Linked DNA regions of Sus scrofa. The main gene of each other region encodes a partner of the protein of the gene in region 2 in a complex. Links are inferred from orthologs where the notes say so. Each region holds a gene or a part of one and is shown on either strand. Other genes may lie near its edges.

Region 1 (4,160 bases), on a different chromosome or scaffold from region 2:
TAAGGATCCAGTGTTGCCGTGAGCTGTGATGTAGGTTGCAGACTCGCCTCAGATCCCGTGTTGCTGTGGCTCTGGCGTAGGCCGGCAGCTACAGCTCCAATTCGACCCCTAACCTGGGAACCTCCATATGCCGCGGGAGCAGCCCTAGAAAAGGGCAAAAAGACAATAAATAAATAAATAAATAAAGTACTAAAAAGTAAAACCACCCTGGCCAGGTGGACTGAAGTACTGTCCCAGACTTTGATACATTTGAATGATGAACCAGTAGAACTTGTGGCCTTTTATGCCAGACGAGAGACCCCTGCCAAGATACCCAATGTCTTGGGAAACAGCTCTCTCTGTGGATCAATGGACTGTGCTGCTGAGAACACTAAGCCCCACCCCTGGGTGAGGGGGAATTACTCAGTTTCCACTGGGAGGCTGCAGCCCTGCCACAAGCTGGCCTGTTGAGATGTGCTATACCTGGAAGGGAACATGCACCTCTGAAGAGGGGAGAAGGAAGGGGTCCTGGTCTGGCATATCCCACGCCTACTCCATCTCCTCATGCCAGACAGGGCTGCCTGCCCTGGCCAACATGTATAGCATACATAACTAGGTCAAGTTCCTAGAGCTGCCAACCTCCCTCTCCTCCAGGCCAGATGGGCACATTCGGTTTCCCACTGGAACAATCATTTAGCCACCATTTTTGTCCCCTCCTTTGGCCTGACGGGCATTATAGCACAGAGAGAAGCCCTTACTAAATTCACCCAGCAAGCCTTAAATACTAGCCTGCAAAACCTGTCTTTATGGAACACTTTATCTTTAATGGCAAAAGCTGTCCTCCAAAGCAGGACATTATTACTGCCTGACAAAGGGATTTAGTAAATCAATGGTTCAGATGATGAGGCTCCTGGAGGAGAAAATTGTTATTATTTAGGGAATCGTCTTAATCCATGCGTCTCTTACACATGCCTCTATAATGCTGCTCTGACATCTGCCTCCACTGCAATCAGATGGCTGCCAAATGAGCCGCCTCCACCCTTTGCTGATCTCTCAGGGCACAATGCATCTGGGGAGTGGGGATGAGATTGTGAGAGCTAGTTGCAAGGGGTGGAGTATTGGAGGAGGTCATGGAGAGAATACGTCCCCAGGCAACTAGAGGCTCCTCACCTCTGTTTTTGAAAGGTACACTCTGCCTACTGTCCCCATAGTAGGGGCTGTTCGAAGGACAAAACATAGCCTTGAGAGAGTAAAGTGTTGTTGAGACCATCTGGACTGAATAGATGACTAAACCCATTTAAAGACTCTATGCATAACTTTTAAAATTCTGGTAGGTGACAGCAGCCACCTCAAGCTCCCTTGGTCATTATAACTGCCACCTATAATCTGGAGTGGTCTGCCTTTCTTCAGTCTCTCCTTGCCTTTGTGTGCAGAAGCCAGTTTTTTGTTTTTGTTTTTATTTTTAGGGCTGTACCCACCCTTCTAGCATACAGAAAGGCTAGAGGTAGAATCAGAGTGCAGCTGCAGGCCTACACCACAGCCACAGCCACACCAGATCCACGCTGCATCTGTGACCTACGCTGCAGCTTGTGGCAATGTGTATCCTTAACCCACTGAGTGAGGCCAGGGATCGAACCTGCATCCTTACAGACACTAGTCGGCTTCTTAAGCCACTGAGCCACAATGGGGACTAACATAAGCATCTACTGGGTACCCAATACTATGGCAGAACTGAGACAAGAAGTATTAAGAGAAAAAGAAAAGAATATCTTTCTGGATTATCCAGATGAGGGAAACTACAGTGATAATATGTGAGTGATGTCTAAAACAAGGCAGTATGAAATACAGTTTGACCTACTACCTCAGCATGCTATAACAGGAAGGAGTTTAGAGATTATTTCATTACAATCTTTTCTTTTACAAATGAGGAAACACATCTGGAGTACCAGAAGGAGGGTCACAATCCAGATTTCCCAACCCTCTGCAGCTTATGCTACATCACAAGATTAATGAATATTCTGACTAACCAATAAATGGTGGATTGTGGGAGAACTGTAGCCATGAGTAATATCTGTTGGAAGAAAGCCTAGAGACCACCTACTTCAGACTCTTCCTTTTACAGATAAGAAGTCTCAACTCAGGACCTGCTCTGCCTCCACAAGATGACAAAGGAGTCCCCTCACCTTGAAAGACAATCCCTATGTGGATAGCAGCACCACCTCCTGGCTCTACCTTCCTATAATTTAGTTGGCCTTTTATTACAACACCTTAACAATATATGTGAATTTTCTGTTTATTTCTCACAGGCCTGCCCCTGAATACAGAGATGATTTACTTCCCTAGTACCTAGTTACAGAGCCTAGTACTCAATAAGAGCAAAGAAAATGTCTTAAATGATAACCGCCCTGCACCTCCAAGAAAAAGAGACAAGGCCCAAGAACTGGCGGAGAACTCCTAATAGAAGCTACAGACAAGCATGAATTCCCTAGGAGAACATGGGGCTAAAGAGCCACAAACAGCAGTCCCTATACGTGTTCCCCACACCCACTCTTGATACATATCTGTCATTCATTCAGTAAGCACTGAGCACTGCACTCGATATAAACAAATAAGGCACAACCCTTACAGTCACGGACTGATGGGAAAAGCAGCCACGGACAAAGCCGAGTCCACGTGGCGCGGGACGTGAGCTGACAGGTTTGCACCTGTCAATGGGTGCGTCCCTCCCACCCGATCCCCCTGGCCACTTCTCCGAGTGGAACTTACCCGACCTCTTCACCTCCCCCTCCCTGGACCCCACTCTTCTCCCTTTTCTCTCAGGACCTCGAACCCTTCTCACCCCTCCGGGCACTTGGGCTTCAACTCCGTCGCCTGTCACCCGCACCGGAAACACGCCCCAGCTCCTCGTGGTTCCTAGCACCCGCTCGCGCGGAACGCTTCTGCGCATAATCGGCTGCAGGAGAGCCCATTTTGCAGAACACCACTCGCCTACGCTTCCTCCCGACAGTCGGATATCGTTCAAGGGAGCAACTTCCTGAAGTTCAACTTCCGGTACGGCTTCTCCCTATTCTTCTCGCACGCTGCAGCCATCTTTTTTTTCCCTTTAAGATCTGTGACTCACTTCCTTCTTTCGCGAGCAAACTGGCTTCCCGAGAGGTGGCGCTCACACTTTGCGTGAAAACTGAACTAGCGCCTGACCTAGAAGTAGTCAGTGTCCTCGTTTTACATTTGCTCATTCTTTCCAGCCTGTCAAGCAAATTATTTATTGAGTACCTTCTATGTGTCAGATATTGTTTCAGAGTCTGGGGTATAGCAGTAAACTTTCTTGGAACTTCTCGTGGGGTTGGGAATAAAGACAAACAATAAACAAATGAGCAAATTAACATGTAATATATCATAGTATGTAAATATTACTGAGAAAAAGCACAGCGAGGGGGTAGGGTAAAGGAGTACTTTAAATGTTGACTGGTGTGCTCTCTCAGGGGGTGACAGTAGAATAGACCTGCTGAAGTCAGATTACCTGAGAGCCAGTGGACATTAAGTGCTAGAAAATGCAACTGGAGAGCAGCAAGATTATGATGTGGTGGGAAGCCATTGGAGAATTTTGAGCAGGGCATGATATCATCTGATACATTTAAAAAAAAAAATCATTGCCTGCTGCAGGAGGAATGGCTGTGGTAAAGTACAGGATAGAATCAGGAGCCTTTTCAAAAAATGTGCTGGAGCACCTATAGGCAGAAAGAAAGTAAGAAGAAAGGAAGGAAGGAAAGAAAAAACCTCCACCTAAACCTCCCACTTTGAAAGAAAATCACTCCAGAGGGATTATAGATTTGTAAGTGTAAAACTATGTGGATAGGAGTTCCCTTGTAGCACAGCAGGTTAAGGATACAGCATTGTCACTGCAGCAGATTGGGTAGCTGCGGTGGCATGGATTTGATCCCGAGCTCAGAGAACTTCCACATGCCCCGGGTGCAACCCAAAAACCCCCAAAACAAAACAGGTGGCGGCTCAGAGAATTACAAACCTAACTAGTATCCATGAGGATATGGGTTCAATCCCTATCCTGGCTCAGTGGGTTAAGGATCCAGCATTGCCGTGAACTGTGGTGTAGGTGACAGACACAGCTCAGATCTGGCTTGGCCTTGGCTGTGGCTGTGACTGTGGTGTAGGCCAGCAGCTGC
Region 2 (4,297 bases):
GCACCACAGTGGGAACTCCTCAGAAAGTCTTTAGGCAGCCTGTCTACTAATGGGTGGGGCTGCATTCCCAGGCGGTGGGTTGGCTAGCCTCATAAGATCCAGCCATAGCCAAGGCTCCATCACTGCTGAAGCCTGGCTCATTCTTTGGTGGTATCCCAGGACATTTCTCTCACACCCAAGTTAAGACCTGCCTCCTATTTGGGAGCAGAGCCTCCCAGGAGCAATATGGAGGCCAGGCACCCCAGGTCCAAGGAGGCATCCTGAAATACAAATGCTGGACAGCACTGTCAGCTAAGGACCTGTCATCTCCAAGCCACAGCAGTCCTGCAGTGGAGGGTGGTACCCACTTGGTCACATAAAATGAGTATCCGCAAGTAGGCTGCCATTTGAACCCAGATCTTTCTGAATCAAGTTTTCTCTTTGCACTGGCCTCTTGGAAGTTCCTGTTAACCTCCAGTAAAAAGTGAGGGTGAGTTATGGGAGTGGGTCGGAGGTGTCACATCTCTCTGGGCCCGTTTCAGGTTCCAGTGCGTGTTCCGGGTGCTGCCCCAGTGCCTGCGCCCAGAGACACCCCTGCCTGGTGTGCTACTGACTGTTGAGCTCCTGTCCCTCCTGGCGGACCATGAGAAGCTCGCCCCTCAGCTCTGTTCCCACTCAGGTAAAAGTAGGCCTGGGGTGTACGTCTAGGCTGCTCCTGCAAGTTGCAGTGAAGGGTGGTGGCAGGGACAGGTCAGGGGCCTCCTGAGGGCTTCTGCAGCTTGTACCCAGGTGCTGGGTAGGGAGGGGAACCCTGAATGACAGGTGGGACATCCTTTCCAGAAGGCTGCCTCCTCCTCCTCCTGTACATGTACATCACGTCAAGGCCTGACAAAGCAGCCTCGGAGACACAGTGGCTTCAGCTGGAACAAGAGGTAAAACTACTAGAGCCCCTTCTGTGGCCTGCTCACCACCCCACTCCAGAGCCACTTTTCCTCCTTCTGGGAACAAAGGGAGCTTTAATTCATTTTGGTAATGAGTTCAGCCACTAACAAGGTAAACTCACTTGGGGAGCTCCATACAACACAGATCCAGTACAGGCGGACTTCTGGGGATCCTGGGACTTAGCAGGGTTGCCTGATAACTGATGCTCCCCTGGTTTGGGGGCCTGGTGGCTGGAGGTAGCCTGGAACGAGGTGGGTCACTGGTGAGACACAGGTGTTGGCAAGCCTCTCCTGGGAAGGCCTCACAATACTACCACCTCTAGGATCCTTAGTGCAGAGGAGCAGTTGCTGAGACAACCGGAGCTCTTAGAGAAGCTTGAGAAAGCTCTCACTGACCAAGGTCCTGTTCTGCCATGGATGGAACAGAATCTCTTCCTGTTCTAGGCCGTGTGGCTCCTGGCTAAGCTTGGTGTCCAGAGCCCCTCTTCCCCAGTTACCGGCTCCAGCTGTCAGTGCAACGTGGAGGTGAGTGCCAGGGACAAGCAGGGGCAACAGCGGTTGGCTCTGTTGGTGGGTGAGGGGGCCCCGCGCAAGGATCTGTGCTCTTCCCCAGGATTAGAGCACCGCTCAGAACCTTCCTCACCTGGGGGGCAAGGAAAGGGGCTGCCCAGCTGAGCAGGTTGTTAGGGCACAGCGACCAGAAGGCCTGACCTCAGCCTGCCCCTGTCCCAGGTGGTCAGAGCACTCACCGTGATGCTGCACAGACAGTGGCTGACGGTGCAGAGGGCGGGGGCGCTCCCGAGGACTGACCAGCAGAAGCGGACAGTGCGGTGTCTGCGGGACACAGTGCTGCTGCTGCACAGCCTGTCCCAGAAGGACAAGCTCTTCACTGTGCACTGCGTGGAGGTCCTGCATCAGTACGACCAGGTGATGCCAGGGGTCAGCTTGCTGATTCGAGGGCTTCCTGACGTGACAGACTGTGAAGGTGAGCCGGCAAGACGGCCCCTCCCTGCCCAGCCCACGTTTGGGGTTTGCCCTGGAGTCTATGGGCAGGTCAGCCCTCCCCACCTTAGGTCAGCAGCCCTCCGTGCTCACGGCCTTTGCCAGCACTGGGGCCATTCTTGTCTTCCTGCTCCGGTTCTTCTCTGAGTATTATCAGCCTGCCTTTTGCTCCTATCTGTTGAATCAGCCTGGCAGAACCACGGTTTTTCCAGAAACATCCCTGTCTGAATTGCCTTTGTATCACTTTGCTTGCAGTAGCTGAGGGAGCAAGGCCTGGGCATGGAAGGGACTGGTTAGTTCCTGTGGGCCTGGGTGTGGGAGGAGAGGTGGACTTGCTGCAGTCCCAGCGCCTTTAGGCCTTGGCCACAGAACCTTCTTCTCTTTTGGCTCAGAGGCAGCCCTGGATGACCTCTGCGCCACAGAGCCCGATGTGGACGACCCTGAGATGGACTGTGGCTGAGGCCGGGTGAACATCGAGCCACATGGTGGCACCAGCGCCACTCATTTCCTTACCTCATCCACTGATTAAAAGCAGTGACTGGCTGTTTGAGAACATACCAGCCTTTGTTTCCTGAGTCTGATGTGTGTCAGCTGATTGGGAGGGACAGAGTAGGAGCGGGATCCAAGGAAACTGGGATCCTTCTTACTGTCCCTGGAGGGAGCTGAGATCCAGCCCCTTGGTGATGAATCTGCTCTGAGGAAGCAGCCCTGCTCTGCCCTGCCTGTGGAATTGCCCTGAGTCATCGCATTGGGCTGAGGCCATGGTTAGAAACCATTGTGTGGCAGAGAAGGAGGCAGCCCTTCAGCCCAGGCCTAAACCAGGGAGGCCTGGGAAAGTGGGGCCAAGGGGTGGGTACAAACGCCATGGCAGGGGCTCCCGGCAGGCTTGAGTCCTGGAGCTCGCCTTCCCGGATAGCCCTGTCCCCTGCTGTCCAGGGGTCCTGGTGCACTGTGCCAGACAGAGATCTGAGAAGGCCTTTGAGGCAGTACTGTGGGTGCCTGGGGAGGGAACGGGTGTTGGCAAGAGGGACAGCCCAGCAGGCTGACGAGCAGGGGCGGGCTTTGCTCACACCAGCTCCTGGGCGGGCTCAGGCCCAGTTTCACTTCCCGCCACTGCTGCCAGCAGCAAGAACCAGCCAGAGAGCATTCACCCTGAGTCATTGCTGCCTGCCTGCTGTTCGGTGAGGACCCCCAAGGGGATGGGGTAGGGTGGGAGGGCTGTGGGTACCTGCTCCCCCACACACACCAGGCTAAGTGGGTTCTAGGGGAGGAGCCAAACCTTCCCCTGATCAGATAGCTGAGTATGCTGATCCCACAAAGGAAGCCACCGCACCTTCTCTGGCTTCCTGCCCACCCACCCCCTACCCTCCTTTCCTCTTATCACTGGGCACTCACCCTCCCCACCCCCACCCCATGCTCCTCCCCAGGCTCAGCGCCAGATACCTACCATGGGCTCGCAGGCCCTGCCCCAGGCTCCCGTGCAGACCCTCATCTTCTTGGACCTGGAGGCCACTGGCCTGCCCTTCTCCCAGCCCAAGGTCACGGAGCTATGCCTGCTAGCTGTCCATAGATGTGCCCTGGAGAGCCTTCCCATCCCACAGGGGCCTTCTCCCACGGTGCCACCGCCACCTCGGGTGCTGGACAAGCTCTCCCTGTGCGTGGCTCCAGGGAAGGCCTGCAGCCCTGCAGCCAGCGAGATCACTGGCCTGAGCACAGCTGTACTGGCTGCACATGGGCGTCAGTACTTCGATGCCAACCTGGCCAATCTCCTCCGAGCCTTCCTGCAGCGCCAGCCACAGCCCTCGTGCCTCGTGGCACACAACGGTGACCGCTACGACTTCCCCCTGCTCCAGGCAGAGCTGGCCATGCTGGGCCTTGCCAGTGCTTTGGATGACACCTTCTGTGTGGATAGTATTGCAGCCTTGAAGGCCCTGGAGCAAGCTGACGGCTCCTCGGAGCACGGCCCAAGGAAGAGCTACAGTCTGGGCAGCATCTATACACGCCTGTATGGCCAGGCTCCACCAGACTCACACACGGCTGAGGGTGATGTCCTAGCCCTGCTCAGCATCTGTCAGTGGAGGCCACGGGCCTTGCTACGGTGGGTAGATGTTCATGCCAGGCCTTTCAGCACCGTCAAGCCGATGTACGTGGTCACAGCCTCTACTGGAACCAACCCAAGGCCATCTGCTGCCAAGGCCACTGTACTCCTGGCCAAAGCCAGGAACACCAGCCCCAACCTTGGTGGGGACAGAAGCCCCAAGCCCCTTTCTCCAATGAAGAGCCCTGGAACCCCACCCAGGGAGGGACTGCTGGCCCCACTGGGCCTGCTGGCCTTCCTGACCTTGGCAGTAGCCACACTGTATGGGCTGTCCATA

The links. The genes of interacting proteins can lie anywhere in the genome.
Region 1: TREX1 (region 2) and NME1 share a complex: the UniProt entries of both Homo sapiens proteins name them as parts of the SET complex. The link is inferred for Sus scrofa from reciprocal best matches to the Homo sapiens genes TREX1 and NME1.

What each region holds. Positions count from the first base shown.
Region 1 is NC_010454.4:27,415,115-27,419,274, reverse strand, and holds the start of NME1 (nucleoside diphosphate kinase A), read right to left. Parts: upstream 2,839-4,160; 5' UTR 2,746-2,838; intron 1-2,745. UniProt on the Homo sapiens protein: Major role in the synthesis of nucleoside triphosphates other than ATP. The ATP gamma phosphate is transferred to the NDP beta phosphate via a ping-pong mechanism, using a phosphorylated active-site intermediate.
Region 2 is NC_010455.5:31,176,240-31,180,536, forward strand, and holds the start of TREX1 (three-prime repair exonuclease 1), read left to right. Parts: upstream 1-1,445; intron 1,446-1,652; coding exon of another isoform or gene 1,653-1,905; 5' UTR 1,906-2,314; coding exon of another isoform or gene 2,315-2,382; 5' UTR 2,383-3,370; coding exon 3,371-4,297. Other genes in the region: ATRIP (ATR-interacting protein), read left to right, coding at 522-658, 820-911, 1,365-1,445, 1,653-1,905, 2,315-2,382. UniProt on the Homo sapiens protein: Major cellular 3'-to-5' DNA exonuclease which digests single-stranded DNA (ssDNA) and double-stranded DNA (dsDNA) with mismatched 3' termini. Prevents cell-intrinsic initiation of autoimmunity.